Linked DNA regions of Struthio camelus. The protein of the gene in region 2 purifies or fractionates together with the protein of the main gene of each other region. This does not show direct contact. Links are inferred from orthologs where the notes say so. Each region holds a gene or a part of one and is shown on either strand. Other genes may lie near its edges. The genes, in order: EEF1A1, SNW1, CCNT1 and SNRPB2.

Region 1 (7,128 bases), on a different chromosome or scaffold from region 2:
AATTATCTGCTGGTTTTGATGACATAAGACTAGACTAAGAATTTGTCGAGTGGCACGATCCGATTTTGAGCTCAGCACCCACAAACTGAACTTAAACTACCGAAACATATGCATGTTTTACTATTACATGAACTAATAAGATTACTGAGGATCAATTAAGTTCTTAATACAAACGTCAAACCTACGTTAGAGCTAGGCTCCAACATGTTGTCTCCGTTCCAACCAGAAATTGGCACAAAAGCTACAGTGTCTGGGTTGTAGCCAATTTTCTTGATGTAAGTGCTGACTTCTTTAACAATTTCTTCGTATCTCTTCTGGCTGTAAGGTGGCTCGGTGGAATCCATCTTGTTAACACCAACAATCAGCTGTTTCACACCCAGTGTGTAGGCCAGAAGGGCATGCTCACGGGTCTGCCCGTTCTTGGAAATACCAGCCTCGAACTCACCAACACCAGCAGCGACAATCAGGACAGCACAATCAGCCTTTGAAAAGAAAGAAAGAAAGAAAGAAAAAAATAGTAACATCAACTATGAAGTTTACATACGTGTCTGTGTGTTAAGATACACACAAACAAAAAAAACACCCCACTCCCAAGCTCCTAAAATCCTTAGTTCTATTTACATACCTGAGAAGTTCCAGTAATCATGTTCTTAATGAAGTCTCTGTGTCCAGGAGCGTCAATGATGGTGACGTAGTACTTGCTTGTTTCAAATTTCCACAGGGAAATATCAATAGTAATACCACGTTCACGTTCAGCTTTCAGCTTGTCCAAGACCCAGGCGTATTTGAAGGAACCTTTGCCCATCTATCGATTAAGAAAAAAATTCAGTGTTTTTGAAATACGTACTTAATTTTGTTCAGAAAAATCACGAACTGAGAGACACTACCTAAAGGGCAAAAATCTAAAAATAAGAGTAGCTTATACTGGTAAGTGTTGTTGCTTACAAAACTCTGGCCTAGATTCATCTGGCACTACTAGTGACAGATGCCAACTCGTTTTGTTATTTAACCTGCTGACACTTTTAGTACTCTTGACAGCTTGTTAACTGTACTAACACATTACAAGTTAAACCTTGTAAAGCTAAGCTCTCCTATCAAGTGTCCTTCAGAAATTTTTCTTTTCTTAGTAATGCAATCCCCGCCACAATCAAACATCTAAACTGCTTCTCACACTAGCTTTAGTATGTTTCACGTGTAAAATGTTTGCTAAGACCTGATCTCCAATATTACATAGAAAAAGGATGAATAATTTGTTTAAGATTAGCATTCTACAAGCTCCAGTGCTGAAGTGCAGGCACTCCTGGATTTTCCGGTATAAGAGCAATCATAACAACTGCTTTAATTTTATCCTCAACTAAACGCACACAAAGACTTAAGACGGGAACTGCACGTTAGCTCCAATCCCAGACTATCGTTACCGTCGTTATGTAGATGCTACTTGTTCTTCTGTTCTGCTCGTTTCAGCATCAATAATTTGAGCGGGGGCCAACTAACAGAATGCGCAGATTCAAGAGATACAAACACTACTGCTTTTTCAACTATGGGCACAATTTCAAACCAGCGGCCCGCAAAACAGTACATTCGCAATTTATCAGCTTAGTTTTGCGACTGAACTTCTCTTTGTTCACCCACGCTCCCTTTACGTGCTGCTGGATGTTGAAGGCCCACAAACCTCAGCAGCTTCCTTCTCGAACTTCTCAATGGTCCTCTTGTCAATGCCACCACACTTGTAGATGAGGTGGCCAGTTGTGGTGGACTTGCCAGAATCGACGTGGCCAATGACGACTATGTTGATGTGGGTCTTCTCCTTTCCCATTTTGGATGTTTAGTTAAGCTCTTTCTTTCGGCAAAAGAGAATCGACACCTAAAAGCCAAAAAGCAAGCAAACAAACAAAGAAGTAAAAACGAAGTCACGACCACAGGTTTCCCCACCGCAGCCCCGTTCGGTGACACCCAGGGGAGCAGTCGAAAGGGGGCACCAGACCGTGATGGCGGCTCCGCGCGCGCACGCGCGGCGTCCTCGCGGCCGCGGCTCCGCCCCGCCGGGAGAGGGGAGGAGCCGGCGGGCGGGAGCAGGCCGGGGGCCCCTCGGCGGAGGCCAGCTCGTCGCCCCCCTCCCCTCCTCTCCCCGCACCGCGGCCGGGGCTCGAGTTACCCCCCGGCGGCCGGGGAGCAGGGCGGCGGCGGCGGCGCGGGCGGCTGACGGGCAGCGGCGGAGGGCGGGGCCCGGCCCGCTCCTTTGTGTGTGACTCACCCCGCCCGGGCCGCCGCGTCCTCCATTTTGTGAAGTTCGCAGCCGGCAGGAAAAGCGAGCGGCCATTTTTTTTTTCCTCCGCGCACCCCGTCCTCCCCTCCCCCCACCGCCGCCCAGCCCGGGGCACCACCCGGCCGCCCGCGCTCCCGGGCCCGGCTCCCCCACGCCGCCTCCCCTGCCCGCGACCACCCCCTCGCAGCCAGCGGCCGCCACGGCCCTCGGGGCAGCGGCGGGCGCCTCGCGCCTCCGAGAGCGCGTGCGCGCGCCCGGCCACGCCGCTCCGCAGGCCCCAGCGGCGACGAGGAGGCGACGCGCCACCGCTTCCCCAGCGCCGCCCGCCCCTCACCCCGCGGATCCCCCTTCCCCGGCGGCCCCCCGCGCGCGCGACGGCTCGCTCGCTCGCCCGCCGCGTGGGGCCCCGCCGGCCCCTCCCCCTCCCCCCGGCCTGCCCCGCGCGGGCGCGCCTCACCTGCCAGGCGGCGACGGCGGCGGCGGCAAACCCGGAGCGAAAAAGACCGACGGCGTGAGCGGCTCCCCTTATATAGGCTGGGCGGGGGGGGCGGCGCCTAAGCGACACGTCACCACTCCCAGCGTTCCAGCGGCTCCGCCCCGGCAGCGCCGGCCCCGAGAGGCAGCGCGGGCAAAGGGCGCGGCCGCCGAGGCGGGCAGCGGCGCGCAGCCGCCGGGGGCTTCCCCGCCGCGGACTGCGGCCTCGGCGCGAAGGGCGCCTCGCGGCCCTCCCCGCCGCGGAGGGAGGGAGGGAGGGAGGGAGGGAGGGAGGGAGGGAGGCTGGGCTCGTCGCGCCCCGCCCCGCCCGCCGCCCGGCGGCGCCCGCGAGCCCCTGCCGCCGGCTCAGGCGGTTGGCGAGCCGCAGCCCTGACCGAGCGAGTGGGGGCGGCCGGGTCGAGGGCGTCGGAAGAACGGGCATCGGCCAAGAGCTCCAGCAGCCCTTGGCGTGCGTGGGTGTGAGTCACGAGTTGCACCAACATCATGAAAGAATAGAACAGGCAGGCGCAGGTCAGGGTGGGACAGAAAGGTGAGGGAGGCACAGGGATGACTGCTTGACTACGCCATTGCTGTTGGAGAACTACAAGGAGCTTAAGAGCTGGCTGGTCTTCATCATCCCTGGCCCTCAACATACACGGTGGGGGGGAAGGGACAAGCTTAAAACTTCTTTCTTTTCTCCAAGATGACCGCAGCAGCAGCAAGGGGAGCGGAGAGATACAGCAGGGTTTGGTTGAGCCAGATTTCTCCTCTGGACCCTCCCACACATGGAGAAGATGGGGAAGAAAAAGTTGTACAGATTGGATCAGTACCAGGTCCAGCACAGGGACATCTAGCAGCTAAACCAAGCCCTGGAGAATGGCCCCAGGCACCCTCATTATGTTTCTTATTAGAGACACAAAGGAACTCAATCAATGAGATCAGAACTGTCGTTCAGTCTGAGTGGCACTCGTTCAGTCTGAGTGGCACTCGCTAGCCTAAAGTTGCCAGTTGCTTGAGATACTGGAAAGGAAGAACCCCTCCAGCTCATTATATCCCAAGTGCCCCAGGAACGGAGGTGGGGAGAGAGAGCGAGCGAGCAGGAGTCCAGGGAACCCCGTTACACTAGAACAGGAAACCACGTAGTCTGGCTTTTTAAAAAGATTTTTCTTTTTTTCTGGCACCATTGCGAGAAAAAAAGTTAAAAGGTTTTTTTCGCACAAAATACCAGTCAAGATGGACATGCTTTAAGACAGGCTGCATCTGAAATGGAAAGGCTTCAGGTGTGACCAAAGAGAATCACTTACACATTTAAGAAATACGACTTCTGTGTGCAAAAAACCCCAAATTGCATGAAGTGCCCTCGTGCTATTTTTTGAGAGGTCAACATTTATGAACAAGAGAACTACTGGATGGCCTGGCTCCCTCAACAAGTCCTCATGATTCCAACGGATTGAATTGTTTTCTGATTCCTTCACTCCTAAACGAGACAAGAAAACCCATTACATATTCAAATCTCAGATACCTATTAAAGAGAAATTAAAAAGATGAATATTTTCACATGGCCCTTTAAAAAGATGATATCTGCGAAGAAAGAAAGAGTGCATGCTCTATTTCCTTCTCCAGGTACTTTAAACACCTCCATTAGAGGCCATTGCTTAGATATGCCCAACTGCAGTCTTCAGTAGAGCAAAGTCAACAAAACCATTCATTCGCTGCAATGTTCTCCAGATTGGAGTAGTAAAGCGTGGAAATAGTTTCTTTAAAAAAACCCAACAAAAACAAACAAATTCACCCTACTTCATGGGTTGATGTACAAGTGAAATGTTTCCATAAATATCTGGTATTTTTCCACATCCACAATTAACAAAAATTAGGCTGTAAAAATAATTTGAAAATGTCATGTATTAAACAGGCTGTTGAGTTTAGAAAACACCTTTTACACACACACACACACACACACACACAGCCTCAGTTTCACTGAGTAAAAGCCTGCAAAAAGATTCAGATATTGTTAAATAAAAATCACACGCTGACAGCTTCAGTTTCACTGAGTAAAAACCTGCAAAAACGTTTAGATATTGTTAAACTCACTATTTTTTAGGAAAGGAATAAAGTTAAAGTTCTTTCTCTCCAATGTTTTTTAGGAGGAAACGGGTAGCAGCTAGACAGAGTTCAACGTTCTGCAGAACTAACATTTAGGTGAACAGAAATGCTGTTAAGAAGCGAAGAAGTTTCATATGAAGACACAGTAATGGGGGGGGGGGAGGGAAATGGATCACTTTTTTGAAACAGAACTTTCTATTTTTCAAAATTAAAAATATCCATGACCATAAAGTAATTTAAAGGCTCAGGTTGATGACAAAAGGGTAATTAACATTTGGTAAGGAAGATAAGCAGCGCTTTTTGGGTCTCCTGTAACGCGAAGACAGCTTGTAAACGCAAGCTAAAAGGAGTACTATTCAGGATGCTTCAAAGTTAGCTTCTAAAATGGGTATTTCAGTAGAAAGTATTTTTAGTGGACTGATCTGTCAAAGGATCCATTCTAATAAAAATAGTTTAAAACTTTCAATAGGTATCAGTTCCTTGTGCTTCAACAAAGGGAGGAGAAAGGAAATATTTTACTGATTTCTTACGTGGCCCATAATAAACTGGACTTTTTTAAATTTTAAAATAACTTATTTTAGAAGTCTTTTTTTAAAATGAAGCCGTTTGGAACTACGTATTTCTTAAGACAGGAATTTCTGTGGTATGTATGTGGCTGAAAGTCTACTGAATTTGTTGTACAACCTTTTAATCATGGTCCTGATTCAAGTCCACAACAGTTTTTTCCTCCATTTATTTAACTGAACTTTGCACAAGAATTTTATTATTTCCTCCTTAATCGGTCCAATGCACGCTTTTATTCTCTCAACAACTGGCATGTCTTTCATTGTCCATTCTATTCGCGGAACATTCCTATTATCAATCTTGCAAATATTTATACAGCTGGGCAGCTTTCAGATATATGAGTAGTCTCACATAATTCAGTGGAAATACATTCTGAAGAATCCTCTCAAACAACTAACACAGATAGGCATTTACTGGATTAAATCCTGGATGCAAATAGCCTGTTACATATTTCTGATTCTGTTCATTAGACAAAACTATTCTCTTTGATACGAAAGGCTTATGAAGAAACGAAGAGATTTCAAGAAGTCAAGATCTTTCAGGCTTTGGAGCAGTCCTTGTAAAGTCTAGCCCGACCATTGCTGGAAGGGCTTTGTGGGGGGAAAAAAATTATTCATTCTCCCGTGATCATGGTTGAGCATATGCTACACTGAAATAACTCATCCTCATATATGCCTGCAGTGTTAAGAATACACAGAAGTGTTCTCCAAAGCTTTAACATTGTAGAAACCTATGGAGTAGCCACCTTTGCAGAAAGTCCTGACTCTTAGGTCAAATAGTACTGAAACGAAAGTTACGCTGTCCACATATCTAGGCCAAATATTCTAACCAGCGTAAAAATAAATGTTTACTAGATTTGGAGATCAAACTAGCTACTACAGTCTTATTTTCAATTTAATACATAGCTATAGAGAGTATACTATAAATGTAAAATAAGGTCAGTGAAATCACGCTAGAAAATAAAAGATGTTCTCATTGAGCGCCTCGATAATTTTAATGTTCGCTTCCACATGCATGTGGAAGTGGCATCTTTTTGATCAGACCCTTGCAAAGGTGCAGGTAGCACTTACATAACTATTCTAATTGCAATGAGCATGGTCATTCATAAGTGAGAGTAAACACAGGCTTTATAAACACAGTTTAAGGTGTTGGGTTTATCAGATCTGTATTTATCAGAGCTCACGATATATGGAAGAGACGCTAAGATTTCCTGAGGGCACTTTCAGAAAGACTGGTGGAAAAATACCAAATTAAAAATACTAATTGGTGATTAGGAAAAAAGAAAAAAGATGGTGCACTACATTATTCTGCAATACAGAATAATTTACAGAATAATTTAACCTCATAATTTACAGAATAATTTAACCTCATACTTACTATGACGTACTTCCTAGTTCCTGCTGTATGTAACTATGTTGGTCCAAACGTTCAACATACATTATAGGATGAGCACACAGCTTTACTTCCATCTATAAATGCACTTCAATGCCTTGGTTCCTGCTAGAAGTAGAAAGCATCTATATCTGTTAAGAAATCCTTTTCCCTACATCATCCTAATACTTATTAGCAGATTTAACAGTCATCTCAGTGTTTATTAGAACAATTAATAGACTAATGGTGTTATTTACACACCAAGAGATTAGACAGAGAATATGCTTCAAAACTTGAACTGAGCATGGTTAGGTAACTGAAACTTCTTGAAGAAGCTAGCTTTTCAAATC
Region 2 (7,310 bases):
CAGCACCAGCATCTCCTCCTCTTTCGGCTGCAGTGGCATAGCTTTTGCAGAGCCTGACAGTGAATCAGATCAATGAAAAAGATTGGTTCCATTTTCAGTAGGTTGATCCTCCATCATATTCACCATGTGGACAAGTAGTTTTGCCAGTGCAACACAGAGAGCGGACTGAAGCTGGAGTAAGTGGGCAGAACACCCCTCCACAGCAGCACACGCTCACGGTAGCTTAAAGTGCTCACTGAAATACAGGACCAATTACTGAAGGTCTTCTACCGGATGTCCCACATGCAACAAGTCGTTACAGAATCAATGTTAAAATACTACATGGAACAAAAGTTAGTCATTCCTCAGAACTTTTCAAAGTACTCTAGATCTTCTAAGAATGGATTTTTCCATTGATGCCATCCCAGAATCATGGGACCAAGGTTATGCTTTAGAAACATTTATTACCCTTGAAGAATATGTATTTATCTAGATGGACAAGGGAGTCCTTAACAGCCCTTTTGAGATCTGTATCACTTTGTGGCCCAGTGATGCTGGAAATTGTTTAAAAACCTTGACCTAGTTTTTTAAGAAGTTCTTAGCTAACACTTGGAGAATAATATGCTAACATCAGAAGTAGCGTAGGCAGAAAGTTTAAGTGAATGTAGAGCTCTTAACATTATTAAATGCAGAGCTTACAGAAGAAGTTTGTCTTAAAGGAGCAGTGGAACTATTTGAAGTCACCTTTTTTTAGTGCTAATGGATCACCAAAGTACTGTGTTGGATCCATCTTTAAAAAGATGGTTCCAAACGTAAAGTATTTATGTAAGTAAGGCTGTTATTAGCTCATGAAATGATGGCATTTGTGAACAAGGTTGGATCACAAAACACTGTACCAAAACCTGAACAGTATGCCTTGTCCCAAGAACACTTGCTCATGGCTGATCGTAACAGGTCTCAGACATTGTGTTAAGTACCATTTCAAGTACTGTCTGCAATTTTTTTTTTCCAAATCTGCAATGACAAATCACACCAAAAGATTTTTGTATTCAGTTATACACTTGCATTTTCTATCCAAATTTTCAACTCTTCCAGTTGAAATCACATAAAACAGGCCGGGATCACAGCTAATTACCATCCACGATTACCATCCAAGACCCTTCTGCCAGTAACACACTTTAACAATGACAAATTTTAAAGTTTTCCTCTCAATTCCAACAAGAGTTTCTCCCTCCACACTAGCAGCTACCTCGTGTTACCATAAGAACAGAATACCCATAAGTAGTCTGTTCTCTTATATGTGTGTGTGTGTATATATATATATATATATCTGTTTCCTTATTCCAGCTATAACCTAGATCACGTGTTTAACAAATAACGATGAGGGGAAAACACAGATGTCTTTCTTGGAGCATCCTTGCATTGAGAGACTGTAAACCGACATGGCCATGGAACCATTTCCACATTACTGCATAATAATTTCTAAAGGGAAGAGCCCATACAATATACAGCTTACCATAAAACTTTTTAAGTAACACAGTTAATTACAACAACTTCCCCTGACTCAAGAACATATCCATCAGCTTTGATGGAAGTTCTCCATGTGGTAAGGCTTCACACAATTCTTTGTGCTACATTCAAGATGCTCAGAGTTTATTTCTACTCCAAAAAATACACTTTTTTTCATGAACAGAGACACACTACTACAGTGTGATTGTAAGCATATACCTCCAGCATCCGTGGTATCCATCCTTTCCGGTAACCATACGGGGGAGGTTCTCTTCGTGATGACACTAGAGCAGTTTGCCTCGATCTTTGCGCTCTCGCCCTTTCTTCTAGTTCTAGCTGGTCCTGAGACAGCTGGGTTGGAGCCGGTAAAAAACTGCACATCCATAGATAGCCCAAAATAAAGAGAGACAATTAATTTTGAGAATTTCACTCAACAAAACTCAACTGACACTTGAATCTGTAACTAGACTATTCTTCTTCTCTCTACCATTGATCAATAGAGATTCACGAAACTTGAGCATGGTGCTCATGAAGCACAGAGCAGTAACTTCCAAGTTTAAAGGGGCAAAATCAATTCGTGCTCTGTCAACGTTCTGAAGGATTTCTATAGAACCTGATGTTAAATTCACCCATATTCACATCCTGCCTGAGCAGCAGCATGACAGTGACCATTCTCTAACAAGAGTGTGACAGACCACTATGTATTTTTTTTTCCACTACTACCAATCAGAAAAAAGAAAATACACCCCTAGTCTCAGTGACTCCCCCTTCTCTTCTCTCAAAGCGAACGTCCACAGAGAGATCTATCGACAATCCTCCCCCTTGGCACTAAACCCCTGCCAGCCAAAGTCAAGAACTTGAGCCCCGAATTCTTGACTTCCTACTTTTCAGCTCATCTAGACGGCCTCTTACATGTCTTCAAGGAAGCATCTACCTCCTAAACGGAAGGCGCTCCTGAGCCCACAGAAGTCGCACTCCTGAAGACGGTCAGAGAAACGCAGCAGCTCGTAACAAGGCCCTCCCATCCTCACTAACGGTGAGAAAACCCCCACAGAAATCGCACCGATCCGATCACCTCCAGCCGAGGCCGGGGGCTCCGTCTTCCCGCAGAAGCACGCGAGGCAGGAGCCCCCTCGTCCAGAAGGCGGTGCCCGCACTGCCCAACGCCCCCTCCCGCCAGTACGGGGCAGGCCCCTGCGCCTCCCCCGGCCTGGCCCTCGCCGTCCCCAGGGAGCAGCGACGCTCGACCCACCGCGGCGCGGCCTCGTCGGCCGGCGGGCCCAGCGCCTAGGGAGCCCGCGGCCCGGCAGCGCGAGGTCTGAGCGCGGCCCTCTGCGGCGGCCGGAGCCCCACACAGCGGCCGGGGAGCCGTACGCAGGCAGGAGAGAGAGCAGTTCCCCCGACCCGGGCAAACCGAACCCGCCGGACCCACCTGGTGAGCGCCATCTTGCCGCCTTCGTCGTCTTCTCGGGGCCCAGCGTCTGTGGGGGGTGGGGGTGGGGGGGCGGGGAGCGCGCTTGCGCATGCGCCGCGCGACCCAGTTGCGGCTGGGAGTTGTAGTCTCAGAGCTCCGCAATCGGAGGCGGGGCGGGGTCCCCCGCCTCCAGGCGCATGCGCGCATGGCGCAGTGCTTGCTGGGAGATGCAGTCCGCCGCCGGCGCGGAGGCGTGTTGGGTCGTGTGGCTGCCATGGCGGCGGTCGGGTTGAGCGGTCTTTCCCAGGTACGGGGCGGCCGTAAGGGCCTTTTTCTTTTTCAGGGCCAGCCTGTAGTGTGCAGGATGGTGGAGGACATCTCCATCTGTGCACGCTGGTCTCTAGGCCGCTGCTGGGCTTGGTGTGGGTCACTAAACACTGCAGCCACATTGGGGCCTGGGACCTGATGTGCGATGCCAGGCGCAAATCTGCTACCTGACAGCCCCAGTCTGATGAAATCCCCCCAGCCTCAGTCGACGGTGTCTCTCGTAGTGCCTATCTTTACCCCTTCGATACCTCCCAAGGCATTGCTGGTCTCTGCAAACTGAAACAGAAGAGTTGGACCCAGCAGCAATGGCACAATCCCAGAAAAGCTGCTTCAGCAGGTTTGATACAGTTGTCTTCGTTGAAATTGCAAAGAAAAAAAAGGAGGGAAGCCTGGTACAAAGGCCCCTTTTTTAGACATCCTGTCTATAAATATAGTTTCCAACAACTTCAGTAACTTAATGGTTCATCCAGCTGAAGGATGAGGTATCCTAGTAAAAGGTAGAAAATACAGTGCAAATGGCATTGCAATAGAATTTCTTGATCTGATATCTGGTACTTAGGCATCACTGAGTAGGACATGAGAGAAAAAGGAGAGAGAGAGATGAAAACTGGTATATAAATAACTTGAGTTAAAATAAAAGCTTTTGCATTAAATGTCAGATGCTGTGTACATGTAATGGGCGTATGTTCAAATGTTACATAGTGTTTTTTTAAATGAAGCTTCTAAAACACCTCAAGAGATGTAGTTTTTAGGATATAGTTAAAATGTGAAATAGGGAAAAATATTAGCCAGGAAGTTGTAGTAACTGGAGACTAGATGGAGCTTTAAACGGATAAGGTGCCGCTAGTGCTGAAGTGGCAGTATTTAGTGCCATATAGGACAATAAATTTAGTTGCCGATTAATAACTGCTACTATTGTGTTACCATCTTGTGAAGTATGGTGAGGATCATGCCCACTTTGCCTGGCATGGTTCATCTAGAAGAGACACACAAGCCGACTAGAGAAGAAAAGGGTAGAATGTATAAGAAGCAAACATATTCCTATTACAAATAAATAAATAAAAACTTTCCGTGCAGTAAGAGGCAGGAAGACTATAAAAGAGACAAAACTCCTGTAGACTAAATTCATCTGTTAGAATTTCTAGGCTGAGTGAGATTTGGAGGATTGTAAGGGCAGTTCTGTTGTAGTCCTTCTATGCCAAAATTCTCATTGACTTCAGTGGAAATCTGACTTCGGGTTTGCATTGTGCTGACAGCAGCTGTGTCATCAGCTCTATGAATGACATATTTTCCCTTCTCTTGGAGAAAACTGTCCTCTTCTGAGTACATCAAACAAAGCTAAAGATACAAGATTTTGACATATATTGTTTATCAATAGTTGTGCTAAGCAAAGCTCCTCTGTCATCTCTTGTATCCATTTCCTTCACTTGTTTAGGAACTGAATTGCTGTTGTCACATCCAGCAGTATTGCCCCCAGATTAAAGAGCATTCTGTCACCATATGAAGTTGCCATTGTCTCTATCTCCCACTGTGATACTAGCCTCAACTGAAAAAATGTCTATTCTCTGTCTTACTGCTATGTTTCTCCTCCTTCCTTTGCTGTGACGTTTTATTTAATGCTGTATGGTAGTTGTACAAGTTTGTGAACTATTTTGCAACACAGTTTTTATGACAGTCACTACAGAAAATTGTTGTTCAGAAGGTAAAATTGTACCTGAGCAATCTGGTTCAGCTCCAACACTTGAGAGATGTTCCATTGGTTTCCTCACGCTCACTGCTTGCTTGTTCTTATAATTATTCTTTTTTTTTTCTCTCTCTTTGCAGACAATAAGCTGTTTGTGTTTGGAGATGTTTATAGCTGTCTGGCTGTAAGACCAGTTCTGTTGAATAATTTTTACGGTTCAATTTTGCGGTTTACTTTTGATGTGTGAGTTGGCTAATTTAGAGTTTGTGAATATGTAAGGCTCTTAACGCTGGGTAGAGTGGACCATATGGTGTGAAGGGGCTCCACAAGCTTATTCCAGACCGTATGGCTTTGTAAATGTATCTCAGTCTGTTTTAGGCACCTACTGCTTATCCAGCTGTGGGTAACTACTTGTCCCTGTCCTGGGGTACATGCAGAATATCAAACCTAGAAAACGCTTACATTTAACTTGTCAAAAATGTTTGCTGGGATAAACAAAAATAAATTCTTGAGAAGTTTAGAACTCAAAAATGAGGGAAGTTTGGAAAAGTCAACATATTTTCTTTCAACTTTTTCAAAATGAAACATTTAAACCCTGGTTTAAAACAACGTTGGCCAAGTTTAGCCTACTGTATTTTTTAAAGTAGGAAAATTCTTAAAACCAGAATGTTTAATTTCTAGTCTAGTAAAACTTCTTTTCATTTAGAACAGGATTTTTTTTTCATTTTTCTCTTGAAGTGGGATAATGATTTAATTCATATATTGGGTTAGCCACAAGACCAAAAAAATTAATTCGTACAGTTGTCCTTGGACCTGATCTGGTGCACCTTCCATTACTTCTGCCTACCACGACATTTTTTAGCGCTGTGCAACACTTGAAGATGTATGCTACATGGGTGGAGAACTGGCTGGCATTTCAAAAAGCAAAAGATCATCAGTGGGGGATCAACACTGAATAACGGTATTTCTGAGGATGGGATACTAGGACTTACACGAGTCAACATTTTCATCAGCGATCTGGCAGTCAATACGAAATCACTTCAAAAAGTCTTTAGCTCTCTCACAGAGTGGCAAAATGTTCAGTAACGCTGAGAGGAGAGTCATACTAGATTACATGGTAGATGTGATCCATTCAGACAAAATGTGTTTTAATATCGCATGGTGCAAACTTCTTTATCTGGAAGTAAGAAATGAGGGGTTAAGTACAGACTGTACTATCCTGGAAAAGAGAGCTTCTGAAAAGGATCTAGAATGGTCATGTCAGAGAAGCAGCTCAACATGAATTTGTTGTGCAATGAAGTAACAAAAAGTCCAGTGCGCCCCAGGGATGTTTAAGTAGGGGCAGAGCAAATTCTAGGGCCACTATATATTGTCCTGGTGACCACATTTTTAAAATAGTGCTTGAAAATTGAGGAGGGTTGGAAACTACAGGGATAACTTAAGGCTAGCATAAATTAGAAGTGTAGGGCAAATACAATAAGTGCACTTGTTTTGTGGTTAGCTCTTAAGAGGTAAATGCTGTACCGCCAAATTAGGAGAGGGTGAGCTCCATCTATCTGTGTTTATTGTCAATTACATTAAGAAGGGAATTGATTCTGAGTAAGCAAATTACAACTTTTAGTATGTTTTGCTTATTACAAAAAGACTGAGAAGAGATTGATCATCATGCATATGTACTTTTACAAGTTAAAACTACAAGATCTGAAAGTACTCTAATCTGTTAGAGAAAGGCATAACAAGAACCAGTAACTGGAGGCTGGAATTGCAGAAATTCAAATGAGAAATTAGGCAGAAATATTTAACAATGAGAATGATTAACCTTTGGAACGGCATGGAAAGTACTCACTTCTAGTGCTGTCTAGTGTTATCTTCTAGTTAAAGCTGAAAGTCTTTAGGGAACAGACATTTTCATCATTACAAGGTCTTCTTTAGGCCAGCCTGAACTCTCAGAGCCAATATAGAAATAATCAGTTGAAACGTCATGTTTCAGGAACGTCTTCACAGATCTCCTAGTTCTGGAGTTTTTTTGAACCAGACCTGGTAACTGTTCAAAGATGGCAGCTCTAGCAGAGGTCTCATAACAAGAAACATTTATGCAAGGAATGGTTCTGAAATCCTTAGATCTGTTTCCCCCAACTATAAACCAGTCTCTAAGAAAGAAGGATGAGTTCCTTTTTGTTTTTACCATGATCTTTTTTGCTTAACATTACTAGACAGCAAGCTATAAGGTCTCCACATACATCACTTTTCAGAAGTACACCACAATGGTCCTCCATATGGTGAGTAAGGAGCTGAGGCTCTAAGGTATATTGGCGTGGCTGCCAGCAGGGACATCTTAATTTGATGCGAATACCACAATTGGCTTTGAAATACCACAATTGGCTTTGAAAACACTTA
Region 3 (7,578 bases), on a different chromosome or scaffold from region 2:
ACCACGTGGGTATGCGGGTGGTCAATAGTGATCTCAAAGCCTGGAAGAACACAGATATATGGCCATCAGACAACTAGCAGCACGCTCCCAGAGATCTACGAACCTCACGTTTCCTGCTCGTGGGGGACAAGCCTGGTTCTCCCCTTCCCTCCTATAGCCCCTGCTCTCCGCTCCGAGGTGAGCAGGAATAGAGGAGCGCGTTTTCCTTTATCCAGAAGACTCAAGTTCTCCAGTCACAAAACCTGAAGGTCACGGCTGCTGCCAGGCCTCCAAGCAGCTAAATGACTTCTGTGCGTGAAAGACCTCACTGAAAACAAAACAACTATTAAGGATTTTAAAAATAGAAGGACAAAACCTCTTACAGCAGCTGGGAGGAAGGAGAAGACAATGGCATTTGCTCAGAGGAATTTTTCTCACCCAAAAAGCTAAGAGGAAACAGACGTCTTCCCTTTGAAGGAGACTACAGCATTAAAGTCAACTGAACTTAATCCTTGCTTCAGTTTCCTATTTAGTTTGTACATTATGGTTTAAAGAAAAAAATTTCAATTCAAATCTGTCCATGTGGGTAACAGATTTGGCTTTTTCTGTGCAGAATATTCTAGATGAACTGTGAAGTTTAAAAAAAAAAAAAGGCAACTGGAGAACCAAACACAGTAGATCCAAAACTCGGATCACGAATAAGATCCTCGATCTGACAGACAATCACACCCCTTACTGTGGGCTCCAGGTTCTATTTTCAAAAACCAAACAGAAAGAAAACTGTGGCTGGGATAGTTCAGCTGAACGCTAAAAACAAAACAAAACAAAACAGCGACCTGATCAAAATATTAACTTTCAACTCAGGTTTTGTTAGACATCTCCCAGTGCAAACAGCTTCCATTCCTGGCCACTGGACTAGAGCATTATCAAGTTTAACAGCATAACAGAGGACAGCGACCAATGTCCGAGCAGTACAAACCTGTTGGGGAAGGGGGGTGAAGGGGGGGGTGGGAAGAGACGAGCCACACTTTCACATGTTTTTTTTTGTGAACACTGAACTTGACACAAGTTAAACCTGAAAATGTTGTTATTAAAAGGAAAACACAAGGTGTGGGTGTGAAAAAGAGTTTGTTGCCTGGACTCTTGCTTTCCCACTGGCCAGCTGTGCATCTGCCCTCCAGCTGTGGAGAAGACTGTGCAGTTAAGACTCTCCGCCCTGCTGAACACTCCTGGGTCTGGGATTCGTGTGGCAGCCCGTCCGCTTTGAAAAACTTACCCAGGGTCTGCAGTATTATGCTCTCTAGAATGACCAGGTCTTGGGCTTGTTGCAGGTAAGCCTGGGGTTGAGAGGACAGGCAAGTTACTCACGATGAGGCACTCCGTATAAAGCCTGCACATTTCTAACACCCTTTCTCAGGGAGGCAAAAAAATAGCAAAGGGGAATCTTTATGCCCCAATCTGGACTGGGGAAACTGGCACAGATTCCCTGCCAGAAGAGAGAAAGCAGAGCGCTGGGTGGACCCACTCCCCTGCTAGTTCTTGCTCTACAGGATTGTTGCTTCAGGATCCGCATTGGCCCTCTTAGTCCTGGTCCCTCAAGAGGGGTTACATGGCACGGGATGGCTCTATGAGCAGTACAGGATGGCGTTTAGCTTTCTCCTTAAGCTTTGGCTCCTGGATAAAGCTTCCCCTTTTCAGCAGGGTTGGCTGCTCAGTTCCAGGTAAGACGGGCTGTCTTGAGAGATAGGGAATTGGCAACGTTTCTAATAAACCCACAATTAAACAAGCGGGAACAGAACAGAATCAAACTGCGCACATCATTTGCTGCTCTGCCACAGACGCTATTTAATCCCAGCAGCCAACATCCACGCTCTCCTCAGAAGCTTTTTAATGCAGACACTGTTACACAGCACATCTGAGTCACATTCGCAGCAGCACAGCAGAGGAAAACAGAAGAGAGGTTGCCACAGAGCAGGAAAGAAAAACCTTCTGCTGTACAGAAGCCAAAAACCTCTCTGTAGTAAGAGAGCAGTTGAATTGAGCTGTAACTAACCATCCTACGACACAACCACTCATTTAGAGAGTGGATGCTTATGAGCCTGATTTAACGAGACGCTGTAGCCACGTGATCTAGTTATATCAGCAGAACTGCACGGTTCAGGATGCAGCACACTCCCACCATTCCCATTCTTCGCATCTCTGCTCCTCACTTCACAGCGCGGTCCTCCCATCTCCACACTTACCTCGCTCCTTGTGTCTGGAAGAGTTTCCAGGGGGTGCAGACAGGCATGTGCTACCTTGATTACGTGCTCCAGTTTACGAGGCTGCTCCTCCACCTTGGCTGCCAAGAACAGAGCCGCCGGTGCCACCGACTTCAGAGAAGAAAAATATATTTTTTTAATTTTTTAAAGATAATAAGCTCAAGACTAAAGCAAATAAAGTAGGCTAGTTTTTTTAACGATACGATAAATATTCTTTTGGGAAACAAAGCGTGTCTAGGTAACTTGGGGGGGAGGGGGGGACACAAGGGGGTCTGTGACAGCTACCAGCAGCGGGGCAGCACCCTGCCTCCCTCAGCACCCCCCCACCCCCGGCCCGGGACTGGGGGCAGCGGCGCACTTACATTCCGGTGGAACTGGGTGAAGGACTGCACCATGTAGAAGCGGTGCATGTACACGATGGCCGTGTTGATGGTGAGCTGCGAGCTGGCGGCACGGTTAAGGAAACGCCCCCCCCTCACCGGGCAGCTCCTTCATCCTCCCCTTCCCCCTCCCTCCCTCCCTCCCCGCCCCGGCACTCGAGCGCAGGCTGCGCGGCCTAGCGCGGGCCGGATACACGTTGAGGCGCTGGCCCATGTCCTGCAGGAGGTTGGCGGCCTGCTGGCGGTACGAGAGCTCCTTGTCCGGGTCGAGGCCGGCGCGGCGCGAGGGGCTGCGGTCCAGCTGCTCGCGGCTGAAGTACCAGCGCCGCCCCGCCGCCGCCGCCGCCGCGCTGCCGGCCCCGCCGCCGCCGCCCGCCGAGGCCTCCATGGCGATCCGCGCCCGCGCGCGCGCACGCACGCAACGCGACGCAACGCGACGCAGACGCAGACGCGACGTAACGCGCGCGCCTGCGTCACGCGGCGGGGCCGCGCGCGCGCGCGCGCGCCCCGCCCCGCTGCCCCCGCCGCGCATGCGCGACGCGGCGTCTCGCTCGCTCGCTCGCTCTCCTCCCCCCCCTCCCAACCCGGAAGTGGGGGGAGGTGGGGGAGGCGCGCTCGGCCTTTGACCCTGCTGACCCCTGACCTGCGACCCCAGCCCTCCCCTGACCCCCCCAGTGACCTATGACCCCAGCCCTCCCCTGACCCCTGACCCCCCAGTGACCTGCGACCCCAGCCCTCCCTGACCCCTGACCTGCGACCCCAGCCCTCCCCTGACCCCCCAGTGACCTATGACCCCAGCCCTCCCCCTGACCCCTGACCCCCCAGTGACCTGCGACCCCAGCCCTCCCCTGACCCCCCCAGTGACCTGCGACCCCAGCCCTCCCCTGACCCCTGACCCCCCAGTGACCTGCGACCCCAGCCCTCCCCCTGACCCCTGACCTGCGACCCCAGCCCTCCCCTGACCCCCCCAGTGACCTGCGACCCCAGCCCTCCCCCTGACCCCTGACCCCCCCAGTGACCTGCGACCCCAGCCCTCCCCCTGACCCCTGACCTGCGACCCCAGCCCTCCCTGACCCCTGACCTGTGACCCCAGCCCTCCCCTGACCCCCCCCAGTGACCTGCGACCCCAGCCCTCCCCCGACCCCTGACCTGCGACCCCAGCCCTCCCCCTGACCCCTGACCTGCGACCCCAGCCCTCCCTGACCCCTGACCTGTGACCCCAGCCCTCCCCCTGACCCCTGACCTGCGACCCCAGCCCTCCCTGACCCCTGACCTGCGACCCCAGCCCTCCCCTGACCCCCCAGTGACCTATGACCCCAGCCCTCCCCCTGACCCCTGACCCCCCAGTGACCTGCGACCCCAGCCCTCCCCCTGACCCCTGACCTGCGACCCCAGCCCTCCCCTGACCCCCCCAGTGACCTGCGACCCCAGCCCTCCCCCTGACCCCTGACCCCCCCAGTGACCTGCGACCCCAGCCCTCCCCCTGACCCCTGACCTGCGACCCCAGCCCTCCCTGACCCCTGACCTGTGACCCCAGCCCTCCCCTGACCCCCCCAGTGACCTGCGACCCCAGCCCTCCCCCGACCCCTGACCTGCGACCCCAGCCCTCCCCCTGACCCCTGACCTGCGACCCCAGCCCTCCCTGACCCCTGACCTGTGACCCCAGCCCTCCCTCTGACCCCCCCAGTGACCTGCGACCCCAGCCCTCCCTGACCCCTGACCTGTGACCCCAGCCCTCCCCTGACCCCCCCAGTGACCTGCGACCCCAGCCCTCCCCCGACCCCTGACCTGCGACCCCAGCCCTCCCCCTGACCCCTGACCCCCCAGTGACCTGCGACCCCAGCCCTCCCCCTGACCCCTGACCTGTGACCCCAGCCCTCCCTCTGACCCCCCCAGTGACCTGCGACCCCAGCCCTCCCCCTGACCCCTGACCTGTGACCCCAGCCCTCCCCTGACCCCCCCAGTGACCTGCGACCCCAGCCCTCCCCCGACCCCTGACCTGCGACCCCAGCCCTCCCCCTGACCCCTGACCCCCCCAGTGACCTGCGACCCCAGCCCTCCCCCTGACCCCTGACCCGTGACCCCAGCCCTCCCTCTGACCCCCCCAGTGACCTGCGACCCCAGCCCTCCCCCTGACCCCTGACCTGTGACCCCAGCCCTCCCTCTGACCCCCCCAGTGACCTGTGACCCCAGCCCTCCCTCTGACCCCTGACCCCCCCAGTGACCTGCGACCCCAGCCCTCCCTCTGACCCCCCCAGTGACCTGCGACCCCAGCCCTCCCCCTGACCCCTGACCTGCGACCCCAGCCCTCCCCTGACCCCCCCAGTGACCTGCGACCCCAGCCCTCCCTCTGACCCCTGACCTGCGACCCCAGCCCTCCCCGACCCCTGACCTGCGACCCCAGCCCTCCCTCTGACCCCTGACCTGCGACCCCAGCCCTCCCCGACCCCTGACCTGCGACCCCAGCCCTCCCCTGACCCCTGACCTGCGACCCCAGCCCTCCCTCTGACCCCTGACCCCACTGTGACCCCATCCCTGACCCCACCTGTGCCCTATGACCCCAGCACTGCTGACCCCTGACCCAGCCCTGTGACCCCTTCCCCATGACCCCGTGACCCCAGCCCCCCCCCCCGCCAGGCCAGGCCACGCCGCAGCTCTTATCGAAAGTGAGGTTTATATATAATTTATCTGTACACACGCAGGAAAAGTACCGTGAGCGCCACCTCCCCGCGGCGCCGCGCCGCCCCCAATCCGCTAAAAACAAAAAAGTCACTTCGTTAATTTTTTTGCATTTAAAAGGCGGGGGGGGGGGGAGGGGGGGAGCTGCCATCCTTCCCCCCCCCCGCCCCGACACGGCTCCGGGGCGCCGCGGCCCCGTCCCGGCACCTCCCCTCGGGTCCGTTTCTCCCTTTTTTTGGGCCCCGCGAGGATGCGGTGGTGGCGGGGGGGGGGGGAACCGGACCCCCCCCCCCAATCCCCCCCCCTCCCCGCTAGCTGTGGCCAGGGCCGGCGTTGAGGAAGTAAGTGGTCATCTCGCCCTTGCCCTTGACCTTGACCACGCCGCGGCACTCCAGCGCGTAGCCCTTGGCCGCCAGCACCTGGTAGAGGTCGGCGGTGACCTGGGTGGTGGTGGGGGGGTCAGTGGGGGGGGGATTTTGGGGGGAGGGGTGGGGAAGAGCCAAGGTGAGGGGGGGGGGGACGCGCTCACCTGGATGCGGTCGGGCACCCCCGTGCTGTCCATGCGGCTGGAGACGTTCACCGTGTTGCCCCAGATGTCGTACTGCGGCTTGCGGGCGCCGATCACCCCCGCCACCACCGGCCCCATGTTCAGGCCTGGGGGGGGGGGGGGTTGTTTGGGGTGGGGGGGAGAGGGGCACGGCGTCGCGCCACCCCCTCCGCACACCACCCGCCGGCAAAGCGGCCCGGGCGCAGGGGAGGAAGGTGCAAGAGGCAGCGTGCACGAGGCGGTGTGCAAGGGCAAGGTTTGCGCAGGGGAAGGGGCGTGCAAGGGCCGGGGTGTGCAAAGCGGCGTGCAAGAGCTGCGTGTGCACAGGGGAAGGAGCGTGCAAGGGCCGGGGTGTGCAAAGCAGCATGCAAGAGCTGCGTGTGCACAGGGGAAGGGGCGTGCAAGGGCCGGGGTGTGCAAAGCGGTGTGCAAGAGCTGCGTGTGCACAGGGGAAGGGGCGTGCCAGGGCCGGGGTGTGCAAAGCGGCGTGCGAGAGCTGCGTGTGCACAGGGGAAGGGGCGTGCCAGGGCCGGGGTGTGCAAAGCGGCGTGCGAGAGCTGCGTGTGCACAGGGGAAGGGGCGTGCCAGGGCCGGGGTGTGCAAAGCGGCGTGCGAGAGCTGCGTGTGCACAGGGGAAGGGGCGTGCCAGGGCCGGGGTGTGCAAAGCGGCGTGCGAGAGCTGCGTGTGCACAGGGGAAGGGGCGTGCCAGGGCCGGGGTGTGCAAAGCGGCGTGCGAGAGCTGCGTGTGCACAGGGGAAGGGGCGTGCCAGGGCCGGGGTGTGCAAAGCGGCGTGCGAGAGCTGCGTGTGCACAGGGGAAGGAGCGTGCCAGGGCCGGGGTGTGCAAAGCGGCGTGCGAGAGCTGCGTGTGCACAGGGGAAGGGGCGTGCCAGGGCCGGGGTGTGCAAAGCGGCGTGCGAGAGCTGCGTGTGCACAGGGGAAGGGGCGTGCCAGGGCCGGGGTGTGCAAAGCGGCGTGCGAGAGCTGCGTGTGCACAGGGGAAGGGGCGTGCCAGGGCCGGGGTGTGCAAAGCGGCGTGCGAGAGCTGCGTGTGCACAGGGGAAGGGGCGTGCCAGGGCCGGGGTGTGCAAAGCGGCGTGCGAGAGCTGCGTGTGCACAGGGGAAGGGGCGTGCCAGGGCCGGGGTGTGCAAAGCGGCGTGCGAGAGCTGCGTGTGCACAGGGGAAGGGGCGTGCCAGGGCCGGGGTGTGCAAAGCGGCGTGCGAGAGCTGCGTGTGCACAGGGGAAGGCGCGTGCAAGGGCCAGGGCGTGCAAAAGTGCAAGCAAAGGCTGCACTTGCAAGTGGGACAGGGTGTGCAAGGGCTGAGCGGGCACAGGGGAAGGGGCTTGCAAGAACTGGCCCGTGCAAGGGCTGCGTGTGCTGAAGGGAAGGGGTGTGCAAGGGCCGGGGTGTGCAAAGGGGCGTGCAAGGGCAGGGTTTGCGCAGGGGAAGGGGCGTGCAAAGGCCAGCACGCGCAAAGCAGGGCGGAAGGGCCCTGCGGGCAAGAGGGGAAGGGGTGTGCAAGGGCCAGGATGCACGAAGGGCGCGCACGTGCAAAGAGGCGTGCGAGGGCCAGCGCGTGCGAGGGGGAAGGGGCGTGCGAGGGCCGCGGGCTCTCGCTCACCGATCTTCATCTGGAAGTTGTTGAAGGAGTGCTCGTTGATGTACTTCATCTGCTCCATGAGGTGCATGGCGTAGTCGGCCAGCGCGGCGACGTGGCTCCGGCCCTCCC
Region 4 (7,501 bases), on a different chromosome or scaffold from region 2:
GTTCTTTATAAGTTTCCTAAATACAAGTTTCCTGTTCACCAATGCACGCAGCATGGGGAATAAGCAGGAAGAATTAGAGTTGTGTGTGTGGTCGCAGGGCCATGATCTCGTTGCAGTTACAGAGACACGGTGGGATAGCTCACATGACTGGAATGCTGTCATGGACAGCTATGTGCTTTTTAGGAAGGACAGGCCAGGAAGGCGAGGTGGTGGAGTTGCTCTTTATGTGAGGGAGCAACCAGAATGTATGGAGCTCTGCCTAGGGGTAGATAAAGAACAGGCTGAGAGCTTATGGGTAAGGATTAAAGGGCAGGCTAACATGGGTGACACGCTGGTGGGGGTTTACTACAGGCTACTTGAACAGGAAGAGGAAGTTAATGAGGCCTTCTACAGACAACTGGAAGTAGCCTCACGATCACAGGCCCTGGTTCTCATGGGAGACTTCAACCACCCCAACATCTGTTGGGAAGACAGCACAGCTCGGCACAAACAGTCAAAGAGGTTCCTGCAGAGGATCAATGATAATTTCTTGACCCAGGTAGTGGAGACGCCAACAAGGACAGGTGCAACGCTAGACCTTGTACTAACAAACAAAGAAGGTCTAGTTGGAGATGTGAAGGTTGGGGGCAGCCTTGGCTGCAGTGACCATGAGATGGTGGAGTTCAGGATCCTACGAGGAGGAAGCAGGGCAATAAGTAGGACTGCAACCCTGGACTTCAGGAGAGCTAACTTTGGCCTCTCCAGGGACCTACTTAGGGGAATCTCATGGGATAGGGCCCTAGGAGGAAGAGGGGTCCAGGAAAGCTGGTTAATATTCAAGTATCACCTCCTCCAGGCTCAAGATCAGTGCATCCCTCTGAGTAAGGAATCCAGCAAAGTGGGCAGAAGACCTGCATGGATGAGCAAGGAACTCCTGACAAAACTCAGACAGAAGAAGGAAGTCTACAGAATGTGGAAAAGGAGACAGGCTACTCGGGAGGATTACAGGGACAATGTCAGAGTATGCAGGGATGCGTCAAGGAAGGCTAAGGCCCATTTGGAATCAAATCTACCAAGGGATGTCAAGGACAACAAGAAGGGCTTCTTCAAATCCATCAGTAGCAAAAGGAAGACCATGGGAAACGTGGGCCCACTACTGAATGTGGTGGGTGCCCTGATGACGAAGAATACAGAGAAGGCAGAGTTGCTGAACACCCTTCTTTGCTTCAGCCTTCACTGCTAAGGCCAGCCCTCAGGAATCCCAGACCTTGGAGACCAGGGAGAGAGTCTGGAGAAAGGAAGACTCTCCCTTGGTCGAGGAGGATCAGGTTAGAGATCACGTAGGCAAACCTGACATCCATAAATCCATGGGCCCTGATGGGATGCACCCACGAGCGCTGAGGGACATCATTGCTAGGCCACTCTCCATCCTCTTTGAAAGGTCCTGGCAATCAGGAGAGGTGCCGGAGGACTGGAGGAAAGCCAGCGTCACTCCAGTCTTCCAAAAGGGCAAGAAACAGGACCCAGGGAACTACAGGCCTGTCAGCCTCACCTCCGTCCCTGGAAAGGTGATGGAACAGCTCATCCTGGAGGCCATCTCTAAGCACGTGGACAAGAAGGTGATCAGGAATAGTCAGCATGGCTTCACCCAAGGGAAATCTTGCTTCTGTGATGGGATGACTGGCCGGGTAGATGAGAGGATAGCAGTGGATGTTGTCTACCTGGACTTCAGCAAGGCTTTTGACACTGTCTCCCATCACATCTTCATAGATGTAAGCTATGAGGTAAGCTCAGGAAGCACAGGCTAGATGAGTGGATGGTGAGGTGAATTGAGAACTGGCTGGATGGCAGAGCTCAGAGGGTTGTGGTCAGTGGCGCAGAGTCAAGTTGGAGGCCTATAGCTAGTGGTGTTCCCCAGGGGCTTATACTGGGTCCAGTCTTGTTCAATGTATTCATCCATGACCTGGATGAAGGCACAGAGTGCACCCTCAGCAAGTTTGCTGAAGATACTAAACTGGGAGGAGTCACTGACACACCAGAAGGCTGTGCTGCCATTCAGAGGGACCTGGACAGGCTGGAGAGGTGGGCGGAGAGGAACCTCCTGAAGTTCAACAAAGGCAAGTGCAAGGTCCTGCCCCTAGGCAGGAAGAACCCCATGCACCAGTACAGGCTGGGGGGTTGACCTGCTGGAAAGCAGCGCTCTGGAGAAGGACCTGGGAGTGCTGGTGAACAACAAGTTAAGCATGAGCCAGCAGTGTGGCCTTGTGGCCAAGAAGGCCAATGGGATCCTGGGGTGCATTAAGAAGAGTGTTGCCAGCAGGTCGAGGGAGGGGATCCTGCCCCTCTGCTCAGCCCTGGGGAGGCCTCACCTGGAGTACTGTGTCCAGTTCTGGGCTCCCCAGTACAAGAGAGACATGGCACTCCTGGAGAGAGTCCAGCGGAGGGCTACCAAGATGATGAGGGGACTGCAGCATCTCTCCTGTGAAGAAAGGCTGAGAGAGCTGGGCCTGTTTAGCCTGGAGAAGAGAAGACTGAGAGGTGATCTGATCAATGTGTACAAGTTTCTGAAGGGGGAGCGTCAAAAGGATGAGGCCAGCCTCTTCTCCGTGGTGCTCAGCAACAGGACAAGAGGCAATGGGCAGAAACAACCACAGGAAGTTCCATCTGAACCTGAGGAGAAACTTCTTGACTGTGAGGGTGACAGAGCATTGGAACAGGTTGCCCAGAGAGGTAGTGGAGTCTCCATCCTTGGAGATATTCAAAACCCGCCTGGACACGATCCTGAGAAATATGCTCTAGAGGACCTTGCTTGAGCAGGGGGGTTGGACTAGATGATCTCCAGAGGTCCCTTCCAACCTCCACCATTCTGTGATTCTGTGTGATTCTGTGATAACATATTTTCCTTTTACTGGGGAAAACTCCAGAACGTGGAAGTCATTTTTTTTTCTTAAAATGTGACTGAACTGACAACCCTTCCTAATATTCCTGTCTCACTACAAAGGGATAAGTTTCACTGTGGACCTGTCCAAATCAGTTTAAACAAGAACCATCTTAAGGATTATATTTTCCCCCAAGAGCTTCTTTTTCACATGCGACCAGGTTAAATCTTCACAACATAAAATTGCTTCTGAAAAAGTCTGTAAGATCATTCATAAAAGTAAAGGCATTCTGCCTGCAAAATTATTCCAAAAATTCAAAGGTTGCAACCTCAGAATCTCTGCTCTGTTTATTTATCCTGAGGTACTGTTACTGCAGGGATTGTAAAAGTATCTTCAAGAAATTAGATACATTGCCTTTTCAATCTCCAAACTGAAAACAAATGTCAGTTAATGAATATTTGTCTGCAGGTGTTTTCAAATTTCTGCTTTTCTTTACTCTCCATGAGTTCATATGTTGACAAAAGAAGCAAAAATCATAGTTAAGTTTGCTCAGTACTCTACTTGAACGCATCAGAGCTAAGAATTGGGGAAACAAATAGTGAAATACATGTACTAAACCCCTAATTTAATCAGTTTTAAGAGTCGCTGTGATTTCAGTGAAGCCAAACCTACTACTCCCTCTTTCACCCTGGGACTGATTCAAAGCAAGAAGATGGAGTTCACAGAGGTGTTTCTGTGGGCTTCAGTGGACCTCACACCAGGCAGGTTCTCTCTTAGGTGCGTGCCTGGCTGGATGCCCCGGAGCAGCGTGGCTCCTCAGCTCTGCGCAGTCGCTCTGCAGGCAAGGCCAAGCCGGGGCTCCCTGTGCAAGGGCAGGCTGTGCGGGCGCAACCGCAGCAGCCAGAGCCAGGCCGTCACCCGCGCCAGCTACCTTCTCGGGGCTCGCTGAGGGGGGAAGCAGGGCCGCTGCTGAGTGTGCTTTGCCGACTTGCAGTTTGCCTTATCCTGCTGTTTCACCTGCACTATAGGAACCGGTTCTAGAGATTTCCATCCCACCTCCCCAAATATGAAAAGAAGATAGAAAAAAATCTGTAAAATATTCTCTCTTCTCCATCTGAGGTATACAAATTATCTTACTAAGGTTAACTGTGACTTGGATGCAGCACACATAAAGAGCAGGGAAGAGAGTTTGGATTATTTTCACACAAGCTTTTAATTGTGTTGTAATGAGGAAGACAGAGGGGCTGCAGTAAGACACGAAGAACTAACTGCGAGTGACGGTTTTCAGAAAGAAATTTGAGTTCTAAACTAATAATGTGGTGTCATTGACTCACAAGAAAAAATGCATTACGGCTTTTATACCAATTTCTATTGTATGTAGTTTGATAACTGGCAATAACGCTTTTGTTTAATAATTGCTAAATGATATGTAAAAAATAATTGCACTGTGCATACATTTTTTATTATCTCTACCGAGAAGGTGGAAACAGCCACAGAACAAACGATTCACACGCAGTCAGCTAATCTTTGTTATTTAAACCAAGCTATTTGTCTAACGGTTTTACGATGCATTTTCCCTTTTATCTCATTGCCTTTGGAAAACTAGCACAGCAACAACGATGGAAACGTTTGAGGAACCAGATAAGCATAGTATGAGAAAAACAAACACTATTTTCTCCTCCGGGAACCACTGGAGCGACAGGCATTACTCTCCTCCCTTCGCTTTGCAGGGATGTAGGGTGCTTTCTTTCTTAAATACTGCCTACAGGCCACGTCCTCATCAAGGAGCCTGACGACTGAATTTTGCAGTGCTGCCAGGCTCTTGTTCGAGCGCGATGGAAAGCACTGCTGCTCAGGTCGGCTTCAGGGTCAACACAGCTCCGAGCAACGAGCTCAGCTCTGAGCTGAGAGGGGGAAAAAAACCCTCTCTCAGCTAGACTCCCAGGTACTTCGTGCCAGGAGGGCCTGTTTCCACACAGAGCGCAGGCGGCGCGAACAAGGAGGCGGCACTTGGAGCCACACAGGACGGCAACGCGCCCAACCGCCGCCCAACCTGCCACTGCGCACGCGTCAGCCGCGGGCGGGGCGACATCGACCCGCCGGCGCTCGGCACATCGATTGCGGCGGGATCGGCTCGTCAGCTTGCGCTGCGTGAAGAGGCGGCCGGCGCAGCGCGGTGCGGCCTCCATCTCGGCGGGGAGAGGTGAGCCAGGGCGGCGGCGGCGGCCTGCCTGGCCCCGGGGTCCCGGCCCCGCTCCCGGGAGAGGCATTGGGGTCCCCGTCGTGTTCTGGGCCGCTCCGGGGGGCCCGGCCGTGGGGCCGCGGCCGCTGGCGCGCGGGGGGCGGGGGGGGTAACGTGCTCGGGCCGGGGCGTCGCGGCGCTGCGGTAGGTGCGGGAGCGCTGTTAAACGGCCGGGGAGAGGGGCGGGCGGTGGGGCCCGGCGCGCTGCCGCTGCGCTTTCCGCGCTAGTTAACCAGCTCCTGGGTTGTGGGGCGTCCGCGGGGCTGGCGGCGCCTCCTTTGCCGGGGCGAGCCTTCATCCGTTATAACGTTGCGATGCGTGTGCTCTGTTTGCAGGCAGGTGTGTAAGCGAGTTGGAGGATGGATATCCGGCCAAACCATACGATTTACATCAACAATATAAATGACAAGATTAAAAAAGAAGGTATGAATGTCTGTGACTCTTATGTTTAGTAGAAAGCCGTCGCATATAAAATTCTCATATATAAAAGGTCAAGCTTATACTGGCCTGCAGTTTTTACTGCTCTGGAGCCTAAGCTCAAAAGCTTATGTTTTGGTAGCATCTCACCCTCAAAGATCCTCTAAGCTGTCTAGTAATGTACTGCAAGTGGTGATCATGAACCAAGTTCTCAGCTGTCAAATCTTTTTCATGAAGAAGTAGGTAAAGTTAGCCAGCCTTGGACCATGCGCAAGTTTTTCCACAAGCTGGAGTTCTTATTTATTTTTAAGGAAGCTTCTGATTGCTTGTATACTGTAGTTGTACAGCTAATCTTACAGATTAAGCTTGTTTATCCTTAAATAAGTGTAATCATAGTAGTCATCTAATATTCTGATAGGTTACTCCTAACAGGCATGTTTGTGTATGTTCAGGTGGTCCCATTCACTGAAAGTGGAAATATCTGTATGCTTGTTTTTCAATTTAATGCCTTAGAAAATCACTGAAAGTGGCATAAGCTAACTTGTTTCCCTTCATTGTACTGGAGACTTGATGTATGTATGCGGTTACTGAGGTCCTCTTTAGAGAGTGATAATTTCTTGTTGAGGGTTTTTAGCTCCTCACGATGTGCTAATAAGATCACTTGTTCTTATCTGGTTGTGTACTCAATGTCTGTGTGGGACCATCTGGCTCTCCTTTTCAATGTTTATGCATAATTCTTAATCTAAAAGGGATAAAGATAATTTAATACTGTTTGTGAACAGTGGGTTGCTGGATCAGACACTAGCCTTGCTTAAACATTTCTTTTGGGTATTTCAGAGAGTGATCTGAAAGTAGGAATAACTTTGCCAGTACACTATCGATTTGTCAAGATTGTTCCACTCAGTAAATTAAACTTAGTGGTTCTCTTATAGCATGTTATGTACTATGAACTAATAAGTGCCTGGTTATTTTTAAAATGTAGAATTGCAAGTTGCCAATAATATCAGGCTTACAAACCAGATTTCTAGTACGTCTTTTGAAGTTATTTTTCTTAATGTTTGATATGAAAACTTTTATTTTTCCCTTATTCACATCTGAAGCTTCTTCTGCATTCATTGCTTTGTAAGGCAACTTCCTTCACAAGTTCCCTTGATTGGTTTCCTGTTGATTCTGATCTTATACAGAGCTGTAGCTGATCAAGAACAGTTGGGAAAAGTGACAGTGGGCTGGTACTAATGAGTCTTAACAGCAATAAACAAAAGTCAGCAGAAATACTTCAAATAAAAGAATTGAATAACATAAGAAATATTAAGTTTGAATGCACTACAGAGGATTTGGGATTTATTTATGTTAACTGGATAAGATTAAGGTTTAACTTGATGTGGAGTCAGATGATTTTTTTTATCATGAAAATAAATCTGTAGCAACTGTAAGGGATAGTGTGATTATGTGAAAACATATTCCAATCTAGAATATGAAAAAAATATTTCAATATGCTTGAAAGAATGAAATTTTGTTTGCAACAGTCTGATTTCAAACTTTAACTTGCCTTATGTTTATTTTGATTAATTACTAATTTACAGTATTTTCTTTACGTCGTACTACTTTACTGCCATGTGTTATGGCATTGTATACTACTCAGTATTTGATGGCTGTAATGCATAATACTTCATGTGTACATTAATCCTTGCATAATTTATACTCCCTTAGAATGGTAAAATGGATGGAGGTACGACTTTTTTGCTAGTTGAATACTTGTAAGTTGGCATATAACACTTGGTTTTGCATTATGAAAACTGAGCAAATGAACTTGGGCTCATGCAACAACTTTGGCTAAACTAATGTAACAGATTACTACTTCAGCTAAAAGTAGCAAAAAGTACTGTCCCTAGAGAACAACAAACTTCATAAAACTGAGCATTTGCATATAACCTATGATAATAAATGTGTTTTTCCATACCCTCAACAGAGCTGAAGAGGTCCT

What was found.
Region 1: the proteins of SNW1 (region 2) and EEF1A1 purify together in Homo sapiens (affinity purification with mass spectrometry; 3 studies listed by BioGRID and IntAct, with this or other methods). This does not show direct contact. The link is inferred for Struthio camelus from reciprocal best matches to the Homo sapiens genes SNW1 and EEF1A1.
Region 3: the proteins of SNW1 (region 2) and CCNT1 purify together in Homo sapiens (affinity purification with western blotting; 3 studies listed by BioGRID and IntAct, with this or other methods). This does not show direct contact. The link is inferred for Struthio camelus from reciprocal best matches to the Homo sapiens genes SNW1 and CCNT1.
Region 4: the proteins of SNW1 (region 2) and SNRPB2 purify together in Homo sapiens (affinity purification with mass spectrometry; 3 studies listed by BioGRID and IntAct, with this or other methods). This does not show direct contact. The link is inferred for Struthio camelus from reciprocal best matches to the Homo sapiens genes SNW1 and SNRPB2.

What each region holds. Positions count from the first base shown.
Region 1 is NC_090944.1:42,400,605-42,407,732, forward strand, and holds the start of EEF1A1 (elongation factor 1-alpha 1), read right to left. Parts: upstream 3,008-7,128; 5' UTR 2,724-3,007; intron 1,865-2,723; 5' UTR 1,817-1,864; coding exon 1,673-1,816; intron 806-1,672; coding exon 626-805; intron 483-625; coding exon 186-482; intron 1-185. UniProt on the Homo sapiens protein: Translation elongation factor that catalyzes the GTP-dependent binding of aminoacyl-tRNA (aa-tRNA) to the A-site of ribosomes during the elongation phase of protein synthesis.
Region 2 is NC_090946.1:59,329,818-59,337,127, forward strand, and holds the start of SNW1 (SNW domain-containing protein 1), read right to left. Parts: upstream 3,015-7,310; 5' UTR 2,935-3,014; coding exon 2,921-2,934; exon of another isoform or gene 2,667-2,920; intron 2,525-2,666; exon of another isoform or gene 2,508-2,524; intron 1,862-2,507; coding exon 1,708-1,861; intron 1-1,707. Other genes in the region: ADCK1 (aarF domain-containing protein kinase 1), read left to right, coding at 3,177-3,209. UniProt on the Homo sapiens protein: Involved in pre-mRNA splicing as component of the spliceosome. As a component of the minor spliceosome, involved in the splicing of U12-type introns in pre-mRNAs.
Region 3 is NC_090969.1:1,042,859-1,050,436, reverse strand, and holds the start of CCNT1 (cyclin-T1), read right to left. Parts: upstream 3,009-7,578; coding exon 2,815-3,008; intron 2,685-2,814; coding exon 2,603-2,684; intron 2,352-2,602; coding exon 2,223-2,351; intron 1,317-2,222; coding exon 1,256-1,316; intron 41-1,255; coding exon 1-40. Other genes in the region: ADCY6 (adenylate cyclase type 6), read right to left, coding at 5,611-5,739, 5,829-5,953, 7,471-7,578. UniProt on the Homo sapiens protein: Regulatory subunit of the cyclin-dependent kinase pair (CDK9/cyclin-T1) complex, also called positive transcription elongation factor B (P-TEFb), which facilitates the transition from abortive to productive elongation by phosphorylating the CTD (C-terminal domain) of the large subunit of RNA polymerase II (RNA Pol II).
Region 4 is NC_090944.1:134,156,876-134,164,376, reverse strand, and holds the start of SNRPB2 (U2 small nuclear ribonucleoprotein B''), read left to right. Parts: upstream 1-4,497; 5' UTR 4,498-5,061; intron 5,062-5,435; 5' UTR 5,436-5,459; coding exon 5,460-5,523; intron 5,524-7,486; coding exon 7,487-7,501. UniProt on the Homo sapiens protein: Involved in pre-mRNA splicing as component of the spliceosome. Associated with sn-RNP U2, where it contributes to the binding of stem loop IV of U2 snRNA.